Linked DNA regions of Xenopus tropicalis. The protein of the gene in region 1 interacts with the protein of each later gene in a pairwise test. Links are inferred from orthologs where the notes say so. Each region holds a gene or a part of one and is shown in the gene's direction. Other genes may lie near its edges.

Region 1 (3,500 bases):
ATACACCAGTGCAGTTAATGATAGCTACTAATTAGGCATATGTTTTTATTTAACTACTGCTTGTTAGAAAATGAATGCAAAGATCTCATCGGCTGCTATGGGAAACTGCACTAGTAAATTAGCCTCAAAAACTAATTTAGGAGGGGAAGTGTGATATGATATGCTTTTCTTAATACTATAATATTCATTTCAAGTGGTCCCAACTTCTTTAAAAACCATCTGTTCACAGTTTACCTTGGAACGGCAAAAGACAGCTGAGAAGGAAAGGCTCTTTCTGGTGTATGCCAAGCAATGGTGGAGAGAATATTTGCAAATTCGCCCTTCACATAACTCCAGGCTTGTAAAGATTTTTGCACAGGTTTATAGTGAACTTTTAATTAAATGCAGTGTTAATAACTGTCCATGTGATTTGTAACAGTATAATATTGTTTTATAGCAGACAAAACAATACAGTATCATTATTGTCCATTTATGGTCCAGAATTCAAGATCTGAAACTATAGACACATGAAAAGCTAAAACTAAACAATTTGAGCAGTAAAAAACAATTTGAAAGGAAATATACGTGTTTATTTTATAGAACAAAGGATTGCATGCACCCCTACTATTTCAGTAAATGGTGCCGATGCTTTCCTTAGTGAAGGGTAGTAAATTACTTCTAAATTACTATATATTTGTAATTTTGCCCTTTTGGTTTTTTAGGATGAAAACTGGGTAAATAGGCCAGTGTGTTCATACATTCGTCCCCTGAGAGCAGGTCGTTTACTGGATACCCCTCGACAAGCAGCACGCTTTGTTAATGTCCTGGGGTATGAAAGAGCCCCAACTGTTGGTGGGGGTGGCAAACAGGAACAGTGGTGCACCCTTTTAGCATTCCTTTGCAGAAATAAGGTATGAGATTAAATAGTTTTGATTTCATAGTTAACCATATGCTGTTTAAAGTAACTCTGCTTTTGCCTGAATAATGCAAAACTGTGTGTGTACTTAGCAGAGGAAAGATGTAGAAACTTGGCTCATGTAAAAAAAAAAAACACAGAATACAAGCATTGCAGTGTGTGCTACAAATACAAACAAGTGAGTGAGCAGCTACTTGTCAATTGTATAAAGATTAAGCTTCATCACACTCAGGATAATGAATTTGATAAAGAATTTGCAATTGGTTCCCCTCTGCAACACATCACTTACTAGACACACACCACCTGCTATCTCTTTATCAACATTCCACACTGCCATGAGGCTCCATAAATTGTGCTCTTTGTAAACAGCATGCCTCCACTTGCTCTGGTGGTATAATGCACTTTTTTGGGCCAATAATGACAATACTCCTGAGGGGTCATTTTACTTACTGCAAGTGCAGCATACTAAGGGGCCCATTTACTTACTCACGAACCGGCCGAATGCGTCCGATTGCGTTTTTTTTCGTAATGATAGGTATTTGGTGATTTTTTCGGAAAATTGTCGCGACTTTTTCGTTACTGATACGATTTGCGCGAAAAAACGCAAGTTTTTCGTAGGCGTTAAGATGCGCTCGTATTTTGTCACGACTTTTTCGTAGCCTTCGTGCCGAGTACGAAAGATTCGGATTCATTCAAGCTTCAGTATGGTGACTTTACTTGGGCCAGGTTGGAGCTGCAGGGTGCCATTGAGTCCTATGGGAGGCTTCCAAAATCATGCTAAGTCTGAAAGTTTTGCCCGCCGCTTACGAGAGCTCAATACGAAAAAGTCGCGACAAGATACGAGTGCATCGTAATGGCTACGAAAAACTTGCGTTTTTTCGCGCAAATCGTATTGGTAACGAAAAAGTCGCGACAATTTCCGAAAAAGTAGTAAAGGCGCCAAAAAAAATCGCAAAAAATACGAAAAAATCGCAAAATGTTCATTTTCCAAACGTATTTTTCCAATTCGGATTCGAATTCGCGTCTTAGTAAATGTGCCCCTAAGTGTGATTTTGGACACAATAGCTATTGTTTTACCCACAATTCAGCATTTTTCCTCATAATTCCAGCATAATTGGGTTTGCGAGTGGATGATGTGCCCAATTGCAGCTGATGTGTTGATATGAGGGTGCCTGTGCTTTGATAAAATGTGCTTCTGATCCGTTAAGAGCAAGTGCAGGCCTCTTTGGGAACCTTTTGGATGTGACAGTCGCTTCAGGGTTCATTTGTGTCTATAGATTTACATGTGCAGAATTTGTAAAAGCAGGTGGGATAACTAAATCGAAACGGAAAGAGTGACTTTGAACACAACCATAACCACAACTACATTTTACATTGTAAATTTGATATGTGATATGACTGTTCTGCTTTGACAGGATAGAAATAACATGATTTATTTATAACAGCAGTGTATTATTATCTGTTTAAACAATATTTTGTTGCCTTTTCCTCCTAGGGGGACTGTGAGGACCATTGCAATCTTCTTTGCAGTCTTCTTCTTGGCTTTGGATTAGATGCCTATGTGTGTGTGGGTACCAAAGGAAGAGGACAGGCACATACATGGGTGATGACTTGTGGAACTGATGGTGCCATTACATTTTGGGAGAGCTTGACTGGGCACAGGTTTGTCTGGAAAATTGTGCACCGGCTTATCATGCAAAACACTGTGTGATGATGACAGTTCCACCAGTATTAGCTCAGTAGATACAGTACATTTATGTTGCCTTGCAAAAGTATTTAGAGTTGATTTTTGCTTTCATTCATTTTACTTACTATAAATCTATGCTGTAATTGTATTCTCTGTCATTTTGGATAACAAAAATCATTTTCATACTATCATTTTGTATAGCAATTAACAGAATTGTTAACAGAATTGGTTCAGATTTGTCTTTTTAGTGAATTGTTAAAATAACTGCTACATTTAAGAAATCATTTTTTAGATAATTTTTTTTGTGCATATGAAGGACTGCTCTAAAATTAAGATTAAAGAGCATTCCAAAGAAATTTAAGGTAAAGCAATACAAATGCCTAAAGTGGAAAAGGGGTAAAAAACAGTATCCAGGCTCTAGTGGACACTGTTGGTACAGTAAACAGAAAGCTATGTTTCGAGAAATGTTCGTGCACATGTTTCTGGACAAAGAAGATGTAGGTTTGCCAACAGGAACTATAGAATTTAGTAGCTGTAACTGGAGTAAAAGTGATGGTAAAAATCTCAATCCAACTCAGTCTAATTAAAAATCTATAGCACTGTTTAAAAACGAAGATGCTTCTAGGAGAAGGAAAGGTAAAAACAACGTAAGCTTTATCGGAAAGGTCTATGTAAATACATCGCAGAAAAGCTACACTTCCTTTGTGTAAACATGTTCTTCGGTATCAGACTTCCTCTCTCAGAAAAATCCTTCATTCCCAGGCCTGAGTCTGCACAGCTCTCTCCTCTCTCCCTTCTCCTGCACCCCCCCCCCCCATAAGATTTCACTCCCCTCCCATTAGAATGTGTGATCTGAGTTACCAGCAGCTAGAGCTTCAGCAGGGAAGCTGCGAAGACCAAGCTAAAATGGCAGCTGCT
Region 2 (3,500 bases), on another chromosome or scaffold:
GTATAATGTCTGGGGTTAACACAGACAGCAATGTTCCATGAGACGCCCCTGCAAGGTGGCAGCCAAAGAGAGCCATGGGACATTGCGTCAGTCTACCCCCATAAACAGCTTCTTTGACAATAGTTTGTCCTCTCATCCAATAACACAGGTGACAGCTTGGTGTCTCTGCCCTCTGCAGGGTACATCCCCAGCTATCTGGACAAAGACGAGCCGTGTGTGGTGTGCAGTGATAAGGCCACGGGGTACCACTACCGCTGTATCACTTGCGAGGGGTGTAAGGTGTGTATGCTGAAGATAAATTCATAATATACAATATATTCTCTGATCTGTATAATATCAATATACTAATACTGAATATCTGCACTCTGTCAGTCTCTGAGCATATATCCAGGTCAGCATCTTCATACACAGAAACTTTTTGAATAAGGGGTGAGCTCTAGGGTCAATTATAATCAACCTGTACTGCCCCCACCTTAACTGGTTAGGATGTAAAGATGGAGGCCCAAGCATAGGGCTATTCAGCCTCTAATTCATACAGATACAGGCAATATAAGTATTAGGTATAGGAACAAACCCATATCGATAACACAAGGTATAGGAACTAGTTACTACAGATATAGACAAGCCCTAGGTTTATGAACTTATGTGGATAAAGGCAATATAAACCCATGGTATAGGAACCAATCCATATAGATATAAACAATACAATCCCTTGGTATAGAACAGGGGTGGGCAAACTACGGCCCGTTGGTCTTTTTAATCCGGCCCACCGACTCTGATCATGTGAGACTTGGACTGACGAGTGGAGACGGCGCAACGCTGGCCCGTCTGTCAAATTTTAAAAGTCAATGTGGCCTCTGAGCCAAAAAGTTTGCCCACCACTGGTATATAAACAAATCCATACAGATATAAGCAATACAAGCCTTAGGTATAGGAACTAGCTAGTACAACCATAGGCAATACAAGCCTTAGGTATAGGAACTAGCTAGTACAACCATAGGCAATACAAGCCTTAGGTATAGGAACTAGTTAGCACAAACATAGGCAATACAAGCCTTAGATATGGGAACTAGTTAGGACAAACATAGGCAATACAAGCCTTCGATATAAGAACTAATCCATACAGATATAAGCAAGACAAGCCTTAGGTATAGGAACTAGTTAGTCTAACCGTAGGCAATACAAGCCTTAGGTATAGGAACTAGTTAGGACAAACATAGGCAATACAAGCCTTAGGTATAGGAACTAGTTAGCACAAACATAGGCAATACAAGCCTTCGATATAAGAACTAATCCATACAGATATAAGCAAGACAAGCCTTAGGTATAGGAACTAGTTAGTCTAACCGTAGGCAATACAAGCCTTAGGTATAGGAACTAGTTAGGACAAACATAGGCAATACAAGCCTTAGGTATAGGAACTAGTTAGCACAAACATAGGCAATACAAGCCTTAGGTATAGGAACTAGTTTGCACAAACATAGGCAATACAAGCCTTCGATATAAGAACTAATCCATACAGATATAAGCAAGACAAGCCTTAGGTATAGGAACTAGTTAGTCTAACCGTAGCCAATACAAGCCTTAGGTATAGGAACTAGTTAGGACAAACATAGGCAATACAAGCCTTAGATATAGGAACTAGTTAGGACAAACATAGGCAATACAAGCCTTAGATATAAGAACTAATCCATACAGATATAAGCAAGACAAGCCCTAGGTATATGAACTAATTCATACAGATATATGTAATACAGTGCCTAGATATAGTCACTTATCCATAGAGATATATGCACAAAAATGCCTATGTATAGATACTAATCCATACATATACAGGCACTAATAGTCCTGTCAATAGAAATCATAAATATAGATGCAGACCTATGTATAGACACTAACCATTATATATGGTATATTTGCCAATTGGCACTTGCATTAGGGGCAGGAAATATTAATCATTTTATTGTGTAATGGTTTAGGGCAGGGCTAGAATATAAGACATTTGTGTGTCTAGAATGGGTGGGAAGTATTTGGATGGCCTATTTCCTAAAGGCGAAGGAGCTTCCTTTTGCATAATGGGAATAGGGCTGTACGTAGCTTAAATATTGGCACCGGAAAGAAGGACAAAGTTTTTTTAGTTGTAAATAAAAGAATGTTTATAGGAGGGATGTTTTCCAAAGGAGAGAAAAGGAGTTTGGAACTGATTTGGATGGGGTGTGGGTTATGTATGGGCATGGATTTAACTAGGGCATAGGAATGTAGACTTTATTCCAAAAGTACTAAAAGCAGAAAACAAATTGGCCGTTATGCTTAAACCCATGCCCTGAATCATTTGGAACAAACAACTTTTAGACAAATTGACCCAGTTGGAAATGTATCCATTATTTATACCAGTATTTCGTATAATGCTGTTGCTGCCTGTTTTGCTCGGCCATAAAGCAGATCATACAGTGAAGAGTAGATTACAGGCTTAATCACTTTGCCATCTCTATTAGCACTGTCATTGGTTTTATATCGCAGTTTTTTATTATGCTTTTTGCCCTCGTCTATGCAGGGTTTCTTCCGTCGCACCATCCAGAAGAACCTGCACCCCTCCTATTCATGCAAGTACGATGGCTGCTGCATTATCGACAAGATCACCCGAAACCAGTGCCAGCTCTGCCGCTTCAAGAAATGCATTGCCGTTGGCATGGCAATGGATCGTAAGTGGGGGTAAAACTGTTCCGGGGTTTATTAAAGGGGAACTGCACCCAAACACACAAGCTTTTTGAAAAGGAAACATAATTTCAAGCAACTTTGCAATATACATCAGTTGAAAAATATGCAGCCTTTTCATGATATTTAATGTAATAATCTGGTTTGGAACAGTTCCCTAAGCCCCGCCCCCTGTTCCCCTGCTGATCTGGCTGACTACTTTGTCACTCAAATAAAATGTAACAGTAGTCGCCTGTCCCTCAGCCTGCCATCAGCCTGCCTCCTCCCAATCCCACAATTCCCTGCTGCACACGTGATGTCAATAAGGAAAGGAACATCCCAGTGCAATGCATTGTGGGTTATGTAGTTCCTGCATGCTGTCTCTAAACTGTGGAGAAGTTGTTACAATCTGTAACATCAGTGTTTTAGTCCCTCCTCCCTTGCCAGGATTTCAAATGATGCAGAAAGAGAAGAGCTGTTTTGCAGCTGGATTTCAGCATATAAAAATGGTATTTATTCCTACTGTTTGAAGGAACAGATTACAGGGATAGGGATATTAGGGGTTTCTGTGATGTGTGGGGCTCTTTAACAAATTTTGGTTCAGAAGCAAGAGTTCCCCTTTAAAAGTGGGCAGAGGGCACCATCAGTAATCTAATAAAATGCCAGGTAGACAGTGCAAAGAGGTATATTGCTGTACTCAGAAAGATTTTGTGCAACTCTCAGGATGGTTTTATATTATAGCACAATTTATTCCCCAAACCGTGAATCCCAAAGCTGAGAAAGGTAATGCTACTCAAATAAACCAG
Region 3 (3,595 bases), on another chromosome or scaffold:
TAAGTAGCCAATTATAGCTCTTATTGGCACCGCAGGAACATTTTTCATGCTTGTGTTGCTCCCCAACACTTTTTCCATTTAAATGTGGCTCACAGGTATAAAAGGTTGGGGATCCCTGGTTTAGGGGTATTTATCAGGGACATAAAAGAGCACCTTAATGTACAATATATTGTATACTATTTATAAACAGGATTTACTTTTCATTTAATGCCCCTTATATAAACAACCACCAATGTGCTCTTTTCTTTTAAACCATATGTTTGCTCCTTTGGCCACAGCAAATATACTAAATTGGCAATTCCTCAGCAGTGGACCTTGAAATTATGGCCACTAGGAGTACAGGCCTAAGGTGGCATCTGCCAACACAAGCAATATGGAATTTCTCACTTATGTGTAAAACTGGAAATATGCTGAACTGGAATGTTCTCTGCACACAACAAATATAAATACACTCCTTAGCACTGTTTAAGGGAAAAGAGTAGTTACACACAAATTCAGGTATAAGGTTTAAGATTTCTATTACCCAAATTCTATTTCATACATGTATTAGGAAAAGGGAAAAAAGTTTATTCTGATATTCAGACCTACCTCGCCTAATCACCACCAAATTAAACAGAAAAAGCTGATAGACCCGTGATTCTAAACTCTAGTATATCCAAAGTTATCAATACACATTAGGACATAATTATGAAACCTTGGGAATGGTGCAAAGTGCATGTTGTGCACTACCTGACACTGGATTTTTAATCTAGTGCAAAATGGAGAGCACAGCCTATAAAGACCATTGCCCCAAATACAAGTGCCACGTGCATTAGTCCTAAGTATTGCACGTAAATACAAAGAGATACTACAGTGATGTATAAGAGGTGTAGCAGATTTATTTATAACTGAGACAGGGTCCTATACTGCATAGTTCTTCTGGTAACCACAATCTGTTGATAATTAGGATCCCAGCGTTCCTTTAAACATCTGGTGGCCTTCCTCAAATTTCTATCTATGTGGATATAATTAATGCTGCTTTTTAAAGAAACTTACATCTGATCTGAAACAGTCGCTCTGTAATGGGCAAAGTTCTATCAAAGATGTGCGCGGTTATAAGATCAAGGCAACAGCTTTTGGTTTTTTTCCAGAACCATCGTGATTGCAAGATGTCCATATTTGAGAAGGAAAACTTCCTGGGAAGGAAAGGAGAGATAAGTGATGACTATCCCTCTCTGCAAGCTATGGGATGGTGCAACAATGAAGTAGGCTCATTCCGTGTTCATTCTGGCGCGTAAGTCATTGGGCATACCTTGCCTATTGCACTTTATTAAACAACCAGTGCATTATTCTACATATGTATGAAGAAAAAAATAGCCACAATGTTTTAATATTTACCTAATTTAATGAAAAAGATGTTATTTAGCTTTGCTCTTATTATCTCTTCTCATTGGTTGTTGCTGGAAAGACCTAATTGCTCCCCTACTTGATCTGTGCATTTAAGCAACAACCAAAACACCTAATCTGTGTGTGAACAGGCCAATTTGGCACAATGGAGCATATTTACTAAAGGGAAAAATATAACACACGACAATCTGCCAGAAGGAAATGTCATAGCTCTCTACTCACTTTTAAAGGGCTTTCAGATGATTTATTGCATTAAAAAAATCATATATGGTTACAGGCTATACTTCTTCTTGTATATATATATATTACAAAGATATAAAATCACTTTAATTAATATTTATAAATATTCAAAAGAATCTGTCAGTGTGGAGGAACTTATACTTTAACTTTAGAAATGTAGCTTTACTGAGTGAGGGTTTGTTAGAGATAATCATCAGTAACTTCCCGTGGTCAGATATCCTGTTGCAAGGCAAAAACCACAAAGCACTAACTAGATAGATGAGATTAATCCACTTGTCTAGTAATGCAATAGCACAAGGCTGTTTCTTCTCTGAATCATGATTTATAGTAGAATCCTAAACTGTGATTTCTTACATGCAAACGGCAAGCATAAGGCAAATAAATATTATTATTCCAGAATGCAATGTACCAACAACTCCCATGATTCACAGTTCTCCTTATTTACAGAAAAATGTGTGTAGTCCCTGACACTGTGGGTGGAGCACCCCTACAAAAAGTCAAAGTTTCCATTTCAGTCCTAATGTGGCCACACACATGGCGATTTTAGATCTTTCGTGCGACCATCGGTCGCACAAAAAATCGTACAATCTGCCACTAACCGTGCAGGATTGAAACAGCAGATAAGGAGGTAGAAACAATAGGATTTCTACCTCCTTCTGCCGATTCAGCCCTGACGGCAGATTTTGCTCAGGCGCCTTCTATGGCGCCCGATCAAAATCTTTTAACCGGCCCGATTGGCGAGTCGACCGATATCAGCAGCCTCCTGCGATATCGGTCGACTCACCGACTTGCCATACACGCACCGAATATCGTATGAAACGAGGTTTCGTACGATATTATCGGTGCGTGTATGGCCAGCTCTACAGCCACCCACATTTTCTATATAATATCAGTCTGTTATCTGTTACATGTATTTTCTGAGGCTGGTCTGGACACTTGCTCATAATGGAGTTTGTAGAGTCAGTTATCTGTATACTTGGGGTTGGAGTTTAGGGACATACTATATAGGCATTTGTTTTCACTGAAATGTGTTACAAATATTTGTTGATAATGTGTGTACTTATTTCTACTGTAAAACCAAACAGCATTGCTAAAGTATACATAATATGTATTTTAGTTATGCCTAATTATTTTCTTTTTTTTGCTTTTGCTAGTATATACATGACTAGTATATAACATGATTAAATGTCCTTATACATCCTCTTACCAAATGTATATAGCTACCAATTGTTACAAATATTTGAATCCCTCTACAGCTGGGTGTGCTACCAGTATCCTGGTTACCGCGGATTTCAGTACATCATGGAATGTGACCGCCACTCTGGAGAATACAAGCACTGGAGAGAATGGGGATCCCATGCACAAACCTTCCAGATTCAGTCCATCCGCAGAATTCAGCAGTAAAGAAAATATCACATCCATACACATTCTTGTATTTTAACCTGAAACAAATAAAGCATAAAAAGATATGGCATGTTTTTTATCAGTATATTGTTATGGCATGTAATGGTTGTTGTTGGTGCACCTCACCAAGATGTCAGGCTTCCCTGAGGTGGTGTGTCTGCAGGGTAATATAACACCAGGTTCCAGTCTTCTGTTGTATATGCAGTTTTCCTCTGCAAAAGTAGCGGCAGGAAATATGAGGAACCTTCAAAGAAAGCTTTCCATTGTGGACATGGTTATTGCTGGAAATAGAATACTTTTTTTGCACACAGTTACAATTACCATGAAGCACCTGGTGCTCACCACACCCAAAAACCCCTCTAAGGTGAAATCTACTAACACAAAAGATAGTGGAACACAGATTTCTCTTGATTGGCAAAATAGAGCCCTGGCTAAGAGACAGGAAAACACACAGCATGGTTCCCTTGCATTCAATTTATAAAATATGTTTGGCCCACCTATAGGAACCTGGTGCTTCCTTTCTTTTTTTGTAATTGCTGGAAATATGGCACTCCTGTATGACAGA
Region 4 (4,006 bases), on another chromosome or scaffold:
CTACAACTGGTGTGTTTGCCTCAGAAAGACTACTATGGTTTATATAAGTAAACTGCTGTGTAGCCATGGGGGCAGCCATTCAAGCTGGAAAAAATAAGAAAAGGCACAGGTTACTTAGCAGATAACAGATAAACCCCCATTATATGGGGCTTATCTACTAGTTATCTGCTATGTAACCTGTGCCTTTTCTTATTTTTTCCAGCTTGAATGGCTGCCCCCATGGCTACACAGCAGCTTATTTATATAGTAGCTTTTCTGTAGCAAAAACACCAGTTTTTTGCAGAGCAACAGCACATTATATTTTAATTACTTTAAAACACTTTAATTTTTTGACGTTACTGTTCCTTTAAAGGAGACATATTGGATAAATGGGAAAAACCTTGCAGTCACACAAGCAAAGACAGACTTCAGTTCCCTATCAGGTCAGCCTATCTGCTGATTGGTTCCTATCCTACAGTGCAGTGTACCCAGAGCCAGCAGGAAGTAGAACAGATGGGGGGGACTACCGGGGTTTTAGGGGAATTTCTCAATAAATCAGTCTGAAACACAACTTTTTTTTAAGCACAATCCTTCTATACCTAAAAGAGTATAATTCACTGGTACATTCATTTTTATATACCTCTCCTTTAATAGGTTTAAAAGTACGTAGAACATAAAGATAAAATAAATTGTACCCATTTCATGGTCCTCCCCCAAATTAGCCCTTGTTTGCACAAAAATACTGCGGCCCGCTTAATACAAAAAAAAAATCCCTAAAGTGATGACCTAATTTCATCTGACCCATGTTAGAGCAAAATCTCTTTCCTTTTTTGGTCAAATTGGGACAAGCGGATCCGACAGCGGAAGGTGCTATTCGCAACCAATAAAAAAAGTCTTCTGTTCGTTTCCTGGCAAAAGAAGAAAATCTGAGCAAAAATGATAAAGTGCTGCGTATGAAATACTGGAAGCCGACGTGGAGGCCATGGCAACCAATAAGAAAGAAAATTCTTATCTTTTTTTTTGTTCTCTAACAAAAGTAGGTGGTGTGTTGAGTATAGCAAAAACAAACTGTGAGCGGACCTACTGCACCATAGCCGCTTCTAATTGCGTAACACTAAATTACGTCGTATCCCCATGTTACTCCCATTAGACGGCTACGTGTTACGTCACTGCGCTTTGCGTCCGGACGTCATTACGCAATCTCGCGTGATGAGGCGTCGGGATTTTCTCTAAGTCAGGAAGGAGGCCAGAATCTTGCAGTTAAAATCTTTGCGGGAATTGTAAGTAGCGATCTGATACTGCGGGCTGTGATAGGAAAATGGGGAGAGTCTGTGTTGTATGCACTTACTCGTTTAGCCGGCCCCTCCCTGCTGTCGGTGAGCTGCAGACCTTAGAAGGAAGGGCGGGAGCTAAGGTGCCTGCGTTTTGTTTCCCCATATACAGCTTTCTGTACTGCTTGTTTTGTCACAAGTTTTAGTCCCTGTGAAGCTGCACAGTGATTAGATAGGGTACAGGTTGGAGTGTGAACTCTCCCTAGCCCATCTTTTCCTTATCATGCCCTACTTGGACTAAAACTTCTGTGACAAAGGGAGCAGTAGAGAAAGATGTGTAGAGAAAAGAACATGCAGGCACTGAAGCTCCCTCCCTTCTGAAGTCTGCAGCTCACTGACAGCATTGGGCCCCGTTATCAAAATAAGTGCAGCACAACAGGGCCTCCCTTAAGACCAAAACAGTACAACAATGTACATATTGCTTTATAAAGGTCTATGTTACACTCATTGCCATAATCCTTTATTTTTTAGTATCAAAGAAGAAGCAGGACATAAAGCACTCCGGACTGCCAGGGTCTGCTAAAACATGATCTTTATTTCTTCACATTAAAAACAGGTGCCTGACGCGTTTCGTGCGTTAGTGCACTTATTCGTTGGCCTATGAATAAGTGCACTAAACGCGTCAGGCACCTGTTTTTAATGTGAAGAAATAAAGATCATGTTTTAGCAGACCCTGGCAGTCCGGAGTGCTTTACGTCCTGCTTCTTCTTTGATGATACCTTCAGCTACGGGTTCGGGGCTTTGAGCACCCGGACCATCTTTGGACATCGGTGAGCACACTGTTTTCCCCACTCATATGAAAATTGAATAAGGAATAGGAGCCTTTCTGGTTTCAAGTGTTAGGCTCGGGGTTTTGACACCCAAGCCTCCTTAGCACAAGGGGTATTTATCCTGTTCATTTTTGAATATATGATTTTTACATTTCCTTAATTTTCTAATTTTTAATGTCCTTTACTTTGAAAACCAGTTTGGTTATATATCACTTAGTTGGGAGAAATTGAGTGTCTTTTTGCCTGTTGGGTGCTTTTTTCCTTTTGATTCTATAAAGGAGTAATTGCTCAGCTTGATGTTTTGGTCTGGAGTTTTATTTTATTTCTATGGGGCACTGGAGAAAATGAATGCAGGGGTTCAAGGGATTGCCTTATTTCCTGCACTATTATTGAAATAAATTATACAATCCCAGAGCCAATTAATGACAAGTGAAATACTAGTGATCCCATGAGGATTTTGAGACTGATACCAACATCAGAGGTTTATTGTAGATAGAGAAACATATATTATGGTAAGATAAGAAAAGAAATGTGTTACTTTTAGATTTGTTTTCTTTTGTGTAAACTTGTAAGCCCTCAGTTTTGTTTTAATAGTGCTTTTGAAGGGTAGGGGGTTGAAGTTGCCTTATTCTAAGTGTACTTTATAGCTGTATATTAAAGGAGAAGGAAAGTCAAAATCTATTAAGCACACTATTAAATAGTACTACTATTGCTGTGTAAAAACGCTATATTCCTGGCCGCCTAATGAAAGATTTACATAGATACACATACTAGAACTTACATACTTGTTTCAGTGAACAGCGCCACCATCTTGTCCAGCATGTCTGTATGGGCTGAAAAGCACAAGCCAGCTCCCCGCTCCTGTCACAAAGATTCTGCAGCTCCCCGCTCCTGCCACAAACCCCCCCAAGCTCCACAAACCCCCCCGCTCTTGCCACAAACCCTCCGCCGCTCGCAGCACCTGTCCCCCGCTTCCCCCACCTGCTTGTCACAGAGTTCGGCGACGCTGCGTTGCCATGGCAACCGGACGCTCCTGCCCTGTGCGCATGCGCCGCCTGCAGTAACAAGTCGCCAAGTCTTGAAGGAGCGATGCATTATGGGAATCTTCTCTACCCAGCTCAGCATTTTTTTTTCCTGTTTGGCTTCTGATCTTCTGAACGGGTGAAGTATGGGGAGATTTAAGGGCACTATTGAGACAACTGAAGGTATGCCTGCAGCTTGGGATTAACTCTTTATTAGCCTTTCCTTCTCCTTTAAGCATGGGTAGGTTTCTTGGCTTTTAGGGACAAATAATATTTATGTCAAAGTGGTTGTGATGCAGAGATGCTGCAACTTGAGCAGAGGTCCCTAACCTTTTTTTTTTTTTTACTTGCGAGCAACATTTAAATAAAAAAAATGTTGGGGAGCAACACAAGCATGAAAAAGGTTCCTAGGGGGTGCCCAGAAAGGGCTGTGATTGGTTATTTGGTAGCCCAATGTGGACTGGCAGACCACAGGAGGCTCTGTCTGGCAGTACATATGGTTTTATGCCTCCAAAATGTGCCACCAAGCCAGAAATTCAAAAATGAGCAACTGCTTTGAGGCCACCGGGAGCAACATGTTGCTCACAAGTCACTGTTTGGGGATCACTGATCTTGAGTATGCTGATGGATTATGACCTGCCACACCCAGAGTGGAGACAGTTTCTTTCTGTTTGTACACAATTCCCTAAGTGTATATTGCTTTATATCATACACTTTATTTTTAAAATATATATTCGTCAGCATGTTACAATTTTGTGTTTGCAGGAATTTCCACATTCCTTTTCACAAAAGCCCCTCTTGCTGGATATTTGCTATTCTTCCAATGATGTCAGGCCAGGAACTGGCTGAAGTGGTTCAAATTGCAGTGGAAGATTTACATCCAGGCCATCATCCAGGTCAGTAC
Region 5 (3,500 bases), on another chromosome or scaffold:
TAACTTGCAACAAGTCTTTTACAGCGCTCTGGAGGAATTTTGGCCCACTCATCTTTGCAGAATTGTTGTAATTCAGCTTTATTTGAGGGTTTTCTAGCATGAACCGCCTTTTTAAGGTCATGCCACAACATCTCAATAGGATTCAGGTCAGGACTTTGACTAGGCCACTCCAAAGTCTTCATTTTGTTTTTCTTCAGCCATTCAGAGGTGGATTTGCTGGTGTGTTTTGGGTCATTGTCCTGCTGCAGCACCCAAGATCGCTTCAGCTTGAGTTGACAAACAGATGGTCGGACATTCTCCTTCAGGATTTTTGGTAGACAGTAGAATTCATGGTTCCATCTATCACAGCAAGCCTTCCAGGTCCTGAAGCAGCAAAACAACCCCAGACCATCACACTACCACCACCATATTTTACTGTTGGTATGATGTTCTTTTTCTGAAATGCTGTGTTACTTTTACGCCAGATGTAACGGGACACGCACCTTCCAAAAAGTTCAACTTTTGTCTCGTCGGTCCACAAGATATTTTCCCAAAAGTCTTGGCAATCATTGAGATGTTTTTTAGCAAAATTGAGACGAGCCTTAATGTTCTTTTGCTTAAAAGTGGTTTGCGCCTTGGAAATCTGCCATGCAGGCCGTTTTTGCCCAGTCTCTCTCTTATGGTGGAGTCGTGAACACTGACCTTAATTGAGGCAAGTGAGGCCTGCAGTTCTTTAGATGTTGTCCTGGGGTCTTTTGTGGCCTCTCGGATGAGTTGTCTCTGCGCTCTTGGGGTTATTTTGGTCGGCCGGCCACTCCTGGGAAGGTTCACCACTGTTCCATGTTTTTGCCATTTGTGGATAATGGCTCTCACTGTGGTTCGCTGGAGTCCCAAAGCTTTAGAAATGGCTTTATAACCTTTACCAGACTGATAGATCTCAATTACTTTTGTTCTCATTTGTTCCTGAATTTCTTTGGATCTTGGCATGATGTGTAGCTTTTGAGGTGCTTTTGGTCTACTTCTCTGTGTCAGGTAGCTCCTATTTAAGTGATTTCTTGATTGAAACAGGTGTGGCAGTAATCAAGCCTGGGGGTGACTACAGAAATTGATATTGAAATTGAAAATTGAAATTGATAAACCACAGTTAAGTTATTTTTTAACAAGGGGGGCAATCACTTTTTCACACAGGGCCATGTAGATTTGGAGTTTTTTTTCTCCCTTAATAACGTAAACCTTCATTTAAAAACTGCATTTTGTGTTCAATTATGTTATCTTTGACTAATAGTTAACGGTTTTTGATGAGCAGAAACATTTAAGTGTGACAAACATGCAAAAGAATAAGAAATCAGGAAGGGGGCAAATAGTTTTTCACACCACTGTATACAGTATAGTGTGCCATTTATATTCTATATATACAGTATAGTGTGCCATTTATATTCTATATATACAGTATAGTGTGCCATTTATATTCTATATATACAGTATAGTGTGCCATTTATATTCTATATATACAGTATAGTGTGCCATTTATATTCTATATATACAGTATAGTGTGCCATTTATATTCTATATATACAGTATAGTGTGCCATTTATATTCTATATATACAGTATAGTGTGCCATTTATATTCTATATATACAGTATAGTGTGCCATTTATATTCTATATATACAGTATAGTGTGCATTGGTCCCTAAACTCAGTAACTGACAGCAGCCCAGAGCATCGAAATTAGCAGAAAAGAAGATGGGGGGCTACTGGGGGCATCTTTGGGAGCTAAAGGGCTGTGCTTGCCTTGGGCTGAAACCTAAAACATAATCTACAACATCTCTAGCCCTACTTCTTTAGCCAAGCTTTGGTTCCCCTTTAATGGTTGTGCAGTCTAGTACAGGCTCTGTAGTAAGGTGGCCACTCCTGTTATCCATAGCAACTACTAACTGGGCTTACTAATACCATTAGAGCTGATAAAGGCAGAGTTTCATACAGGACACCTTCATTGGAAAACTGCTCTTTTCACTCTGTTTGCAACACCATTTCTTAACATTTTTTTTTCTTAGGCCCCCAATTAAGTTTGGGAATCAACCTGGCAACTTGGTTTAAAAACAATTATGCACCTACTGTATGTTGTAGCAAGCACGGTCACTGTGTAAAATCAGCACGCCAGCATGGAATTAAACTAGACTGTTGTTACTTGGAGCTAATTTACCATAGCAACCGATCACCAGAATGGATGTGTGTATGGGAGAGGAACAGTACAGGGACAGAGTAGAAATATAAACAAAAAATAACACTGAAACCTCATGGGAAATCTGCTTTCATTTGCAGTTTGGAAAGAAGCACAGTAGGGCGGCCAATCAGAAACTGTAGGAAATTAATAAATATAATTAAGAGCAAATGAGAGCCTGCTGTAGGTCCATCTATATAGTACCAAATGTTAATATTAAAGGGAAACTTCACCATTATGGTTGTAATAGACTAAAGAGATTTCATCCCTACCCAACTCATTTCCATTGTGAGTAGTAACAAGTCCGATAGACCGCGCTGGATCTTTTCAGATGGAGTTTGAAGTCATCCCATAATAAGATCCTTTTACATATCATGAGATTATATTTAAACATTAATTTTTCCTTTACCTTTCAGAGCTAGAATGGCTGAACACAGAAGGCCCATTATCTCTACACAAAGACTTGCGCGGGAAAGTAGTGGTGCTGGACTTCTTTACATACTGCTGCATTAACTGTATGCACGTGCTGCCCGACCTGCACGCCCTGGAACATGAATACTCTGATAAAGGTACAATATCCATAGACACAGGCAGCCGGCAGTATCACCCGTTCTGCACGTTTCTCATTAGCAGGGGGTGCTAATTGGCTGACGTTATAGATCTGAATGTATTACTAAATGCAACTTTGAACATCAGTCCCTCTAGTTGAAAAATAGAGGATGGGATCTTCCAGGAATGCCGTTTTTGGTTTTTAATTCTCTTCTCTGCCAGGTGATTCTCAGTAAAAATATACTTACCCACTAGGGGGCGCTAGAAGCATAAAAATGTGTTCTAATGATTGAAAGCTGTTCCCTAACCTGATCTGTACACGGCGTAGTTAGGATGGCCATACACAGAAGATTTTAGTCTTCTTCCAGTGAACGGATATTGATTGTACAGGTATGGGACCCAATATCCAGAATGCTTGGGACCTGGTGTTTTCGGATCCCCTACCTTAAGTGTGCTTATAAAATTATTTAAGCAATAATTAAACCCAAAAGGATTGTTTTGGCTCCAATAAGGGGTAATTATATCTTAGTTGGGATCAAGTACAGGTACTGTTTTATTATTACAGAGAAAAGGGAATCATTTAACCATGAAATAAACCCAATAGGGCTGTTCTGCCCCAATAAGGGGTAATTATATCTTAGTTGGGATCAAGTACAGTACAATAATTTTTTATACCATGGCAAAGGGTTATTTAGCCGATGGGACAGGTTAGAGTATTCCGTTAGTTTCAGATCATTGCATTTAAACGT
Region 6 (4,012 bases), about 50 Mb from region 1:
GAAATGACCTACAGAACCTCCTGGCTTTTCTAATTCATCTCTGGGTTTTTTTTAACCTATTATAAATCACTATATGTTAAAATTGAAAATGCTGCCAGTGACCCTGGGCAACTAGAAAGACTTATCCTGAAACTTTTTATTTTTGGAAATACTATTTTTTTTATCAGTTGTCTTTTTCGTCAGACCGTCTTTTCTTCATCTTTCCGGGCTCCATTCAAACCACTGGGTAAGTGAGACTTTAACTGGTTTCACAAATCAAGAACATGAAAGATTCTTTGGATCTTAGGTGCAGCACTGCTACAACCTCTTATATTTGACTGATTGTTAAGTTGTCTGTGCACCGGTAGGTATTGGCTGACAACTTTGGCTAGCTATGGGCCCAGAATGATAGACCTTATACCCACATGTCTGATAAGGGACTTGTCAGATATTAATTACATCTGGTTGTTGATGTGTGCATCCCTCCACGTGATGTATTTACTGCCAGAGGACTGAACAGTTTGACCGGCCAGGAACTTGGATCTCCAAATCAGGCAAAGATCTGGTGGCCTGGTCCAAAGAGCAGCTCTACTTGTGTATGGCTTGCTTTACCCTAATAAAGAAACATAATTAGTCACAAAAGATTCCAGTGTAAGGCATCTTTTAAACCTAAATGTCCTTCTGTCGTAGACAAATTTTTAGCTAATCTATAAATATGTACAGGTAAAATTATGATTCTATTTATTGTCATCTAAATCTGTAGTAAATTAACTTCTCTGGGATTGTTTATCTTGTAAACCTGTTATATGTTGTTTTGTTTTAATGGGAAACTAGCCAAGTTCTTTTTGGACCTTCAAACATAAATGAAAAGGCAGAAGTGCAGCAACTGACCGACTGTTCAAATACAAAACATATTTTCACATGGGTTAGTTTGGTAACTTTTGCAATTCAGAAAGGTTGCAATTGATAAGTAAGTGAATATAATTGAATATCAAAAGTGTCAGATTCATTGAGTCTAGATCTTTAGGTTTGTTTGGGCAAATTTGCCTGGGGTAGAATCCCATAGCAACCAGTCAGTGATTAGATTTGTTCAGCCAGCTGCTAGCAAAAATGTATTTTCCGTGTGTAAATGCCCATGTGCAAAATTAGCCAGTGTGTATTTATGCTGCATTTTCAGAACTTGTTTGTAATCTTTCTGGGACATAAATTTCAGTAAATCTTTTTTTTATTCAGTTTCTTGTAGCCATGAGTAAAAGAAATAAAGTATCCTATGTGAAGCCTGTTGAGCCCTCCTTTATTTCCAAGTTCAAGAAAGATGTTGGCTACAAAGAGGGACCCACAGTGGACACAAAGGTGCGTGCTCTACACAGATAGCTGACAACATTTTCATATTGTGAAATGTGTATTTATTTTGATTAACAAAAATTCTTCTTTTGTTTGCTGGGACAAATGGATTGATTTTTTTTTTTTTTTTATTGCATCAGCCCTTATAGAAAACTGCAGTGATGAACAACCATCCCTGCTGGCAACCACTTTCTACTTTTAGGCAATGACACAAGGAGCTACTTGTAGTGGCTACAAAATTGTCAATAATGATAGTTGTATCTACATGTGTTTTAGCAGAGACAATTTTGTAGCTGCAACAAGCCCTTAGACTGATGTCCCACGCAGAGATTAACCAAGTTCTGTCGGGGCTAGGAGTGCATCAGCACGTTGATGTGGTCCTCTTCCTGTTGCCTCTGTCCCAGCAAAGTGACCTCAAGGTGGGCATATTGGGAAAAGATCCACTCGTTTGATGACCTCGCCAAATGAACAGATCTTTGTGTGTATGGCTAGTTTAAAGGACATGTAAACCCCACACACAAAATGTAATCAGTGAACAGCCTCTTTGAAATCTTTCAATACCTGCCACAATGGTTGTCCAGAGGTTAATAGTAAGGCTGCAGTGTCCCCTTTATCACTTAGATTTGCTTCTCCTCCTGTAACCCACTTGGCCCCCTCCCTTTAGGAATTTGCTTTGGCTGTTGGCTTGTGGGCATGCTCAGTTGTTCTAAGCTCAGATTACCAAACACGCCTCCAGTCTAGCAGCCAGTGAAGAGATGGCATTGCTGGTTCCCATAGAAACTCAGCTCTAGCTGTCTGCTTCAATTTTTTTCTTCCAACCAACTCTTCTGAGCTCAGCTCAAACAAAGCAGAACTTTTATCAGAGACATTTGTGCCTGTGTGAGCCTGTATTCTTGGTGAAATGTATGCTGAATAAGGGTCTGTGTATGCTGTTTGCAAATTTAAATGTATCTGATTATGTATCAGAGGAAAAATGGCCACCAGGTGAAAGCTGCTATTTGCTTTATGAAAATGTGATGGTGCTAGCAAACGGAGGGGATATATACAGTACACATGATGCCATTTGGGTGGGGGAGATGTGCCTAACTGATATACATTGTAAGCAAATGTAGGCTTTACATGTCCTTTAAGTCTTTGCCAGCATAAGTCTTCTTTTGTTCTAAGCACTGTTATGAACAAAGTATTTACAAGCCTAGTTGTCAAGCAGCGATTGTGATGACACCATACCATGCCCATCTGAGTATCAGACAACATCCTCTCGTAGGTTATTACGATGATATGAGTTAAGAGGAGTTGTAAGATAGGAGTTGGGCCCAGCCTGCTAGTAAGACATTGACTGCTCAGGTAAGGCTTAAACTGCATACTGAGACACTAACAAACTTATAAAAGCTTGGTGAAATAAAGTTAATGGAAAGTATACAGAGAAAATTAAAAATCATATACTCACAGATTAATCAGGGCAATATTCAAACCCAAATGATATAGCCATATTTAGCCATATTTATTTAGCCACATTTTAAGTCCATTTCCTGCAGAGTTTTTTAGAATGATGACAACTTATTTAAATTAATTTTTCTCTTGATCTAACTGCGCTGCAGAGACAGGAACTTCCCGTACTTGCAGATGACAGTGATGGGAGTGATAAAGAAGATGAACAGCCTCAGGTGGTGGTCCTGAGAAAAGGTGACCTCTCAGCAGAGGAGGTTATGAAAATTAAAGAACAAATCAAAGAAAACTCAAAAGGTCTGTGTATCTGATCTTTCTAAAAACAAAATTCTGATCGCATGTTTAGTGATTAGCCCTTAACAGATTGATTTGCTAAAATAGGTGTGGTAGAACTTTGACCTTTAAACACATGACCATCGGGTTGGAACACTGATTTCCAGCCAGGTCTGATCATTCAACATCTTTTCCCTCCTTTGCAAACATGGAAAGCCTTCCCAGAAATGATATCTATTCAAAGAAGGACCAACCTTTTTAAAAATACCTTGGATTCAGACTGAGATGAAGGAGAGGTTTCTGGACACTTTTAGCCATATAGTATATAAGTAAGTGTATATGTGTAAGTCCATGAGGATAAATATTTAAACCCCACATTCCCTAAGAGATTCAATAACTCATAACTCATAACTATAAAATACCCTACATCATAGGATGCACACTGAGAGCAAAGTCTTGCTGTTCTAGAATTCCTTGTAAGTATTCTTGTTTCTTATTACATATTGGCCTCTGCTGCTGTAGACTTCTCTCAGCTGAATGCATGTAAAAAGGTTCTTTAAATAAAACCCTTTCTATCCATGTTTCAGTTGAGAAATAATGTATGCAGTGACCTTCTTTAGTTCTGTCATCCAGGTATTTTGACGACCTTTGTTTGTATTAAAACTTTGTACCAGAGTAAGAAAATGCATTATACAATGATGAATCAATTTCTGAACACAGTCCTAATAAGAAATGCCAGCCTTCTAATCTTCCATGTGTTATGCACTGGTTGAATCTGTGACTTTAATTGCACTGATTATATTAACACAGTTAACAGAGCAGTTCTGTTTGGCTGTATTTCTTCCTACCCATGCTTATGCATGATGGTTACTTATATAATATAAATTATGTTGTTTACCTATCAGCACATGCTTGTCATTAACAATTACAGTTGGCACATTGAAAAGAGGGCTACCAATATGAGGAATGA

The links.
Region 2: the proteins of cep76 (region 1) and thra interact in binary tests that used the Homo sapiens proteins (3 or more experiments, as listed by UniProt). The two-hybrid records come from large-scale screens. The link is inferred for Xenopus tropicalis from reciprocal best matches to the Homo sapiens genes CEP76 and THRA.
Region 3: the proteins of cep76 (region 1) and cryba4 interact in binary tests that used the Homo sapiens proteins (3 or more experiments, as listed by UniProt). The two-hybrid records come from large-scale screens. The link is inferred for Xenopus tropicalis from reciprocal best matches to the Homo sapiens genes CEP76 and CRYBA4.
Region 4: the proteins of cep76 (region 1) and banp interact in binary tests that used the Homo sapiens proteins (3 or more experiments, as listed by UniProt). The two-hybrid records come from large-scale screens. The link is inferred for Xenopus tropicalis from reciprocal best matches to the Homo sapiens genes CEP76 and BANP.
Region 5: the proteins of cep76 (region 1) and nhlrc2 interact in binary tests that used the Homo sapiens proteins (3 or more experiments, as listed by UniProt). The two-hybrid records come from large-scale screens. The link is inferred for Xenopus tropicalis from reciprocal best matches to the Homo sapiens genes CEP76 and NHLRC2.
Region 6: the proteins of cep76 (region 1) and kiaa1143 interact in binary tests that used the Homo sapiens proteins (3 or more experiments, as listed by UniProt). The two-hybrid records come from large-scale screens. The link is inferred for Xenopus tropicalis from reciprocal best matches to the Homo sapiens genes CEP76 and KIAA1143.

Annotation. Positions count from the first base shown.
Region 1 is NC_030682.2:103,539,828-103,543,327, forward strand, and holds part of cep76 (centrosomal protein of 76 kDa), read left to right. Parts: intron 1-229; coding exon 230-358; intron 359-701; coding exon 702-890; intron 891-2,390; coding exon 2,391-2,557; intron 2,558-3,500. UniProt on the Homo sapiens protein: Centrosomal protein involved in regulation of centriole duplication. Required to limit centriole duplication to once per cell cycle by preventing centriole reduplication.
Region 2 is NC_030686.2:9,075,652-9,079,151, reverse strand, and holds part of thra (thyroid hormone receptor alpha), read left to right. Parts: intron 1-148; coding exon 149-279; intron 280-2,554; coding exon 2,555-2,702; intron 2,703-3,500.
Region 3 is NC_030677.2:148,837,033-148,840,627, forward strand, and holds the end of cryba4 (beta-crystallin A4), read left to right. Parts: intron 1-1,130; coding exon 1,131-1,273; intron 1,274-2,882; coding exon 2,883-3,030; 3' UTR 3,031-3,095; downstream 3,096-3,595. UniProt on the Homo sapiens protein: Crystallins are the dominant structural components of the vertebrate eye lens.
Region 4 is NC_030680.2:65,815,889-65,819,894, forward strand, and holds the start of banp (protein BANP), read left to right. Parts: upstream 1-1,206; 5' UTR 1,207-1,259; intron 1,260-3,867; 5' UTR 3,868-3,925; coding exon 3,926-3,998; intron 3,999-4,006. UniProt on the Homo sapiens protein: Controls V(D)J recombination during T-cell development by repressing T-cell receptor (TCR) beta enhancer function. Binds to scaffold/matrix attachment region beta (S/MARbeta), an ATC-rich DNA sequence located upstream of the TCR beta enhancer.
Region 5 is NC_030683.2:3,790,158-3,793,657, forward strand, and holds part of nhlrc2 (NHL repeat-containing protein 2), read left to right. Parts: intron 1-2,618; coding exon 2,619-2,771; intron 2,772-3,500. UniProt on the Homo sapiens protein: Required for normal embryonic development.
Region 6 is NC_030682.2:53,067,087-53,071,098, forward strand, and holds the start of kiaa1143 (uncharacterized protein KIAA1143 homolog), read left to right. Parts: upstream 1-1,212; 5' UTR 1,213-1,224; coding exon 1,225-1,332; intron 1,333-2,921; coding exon 2,922-3,066; intron 3,067-4,012.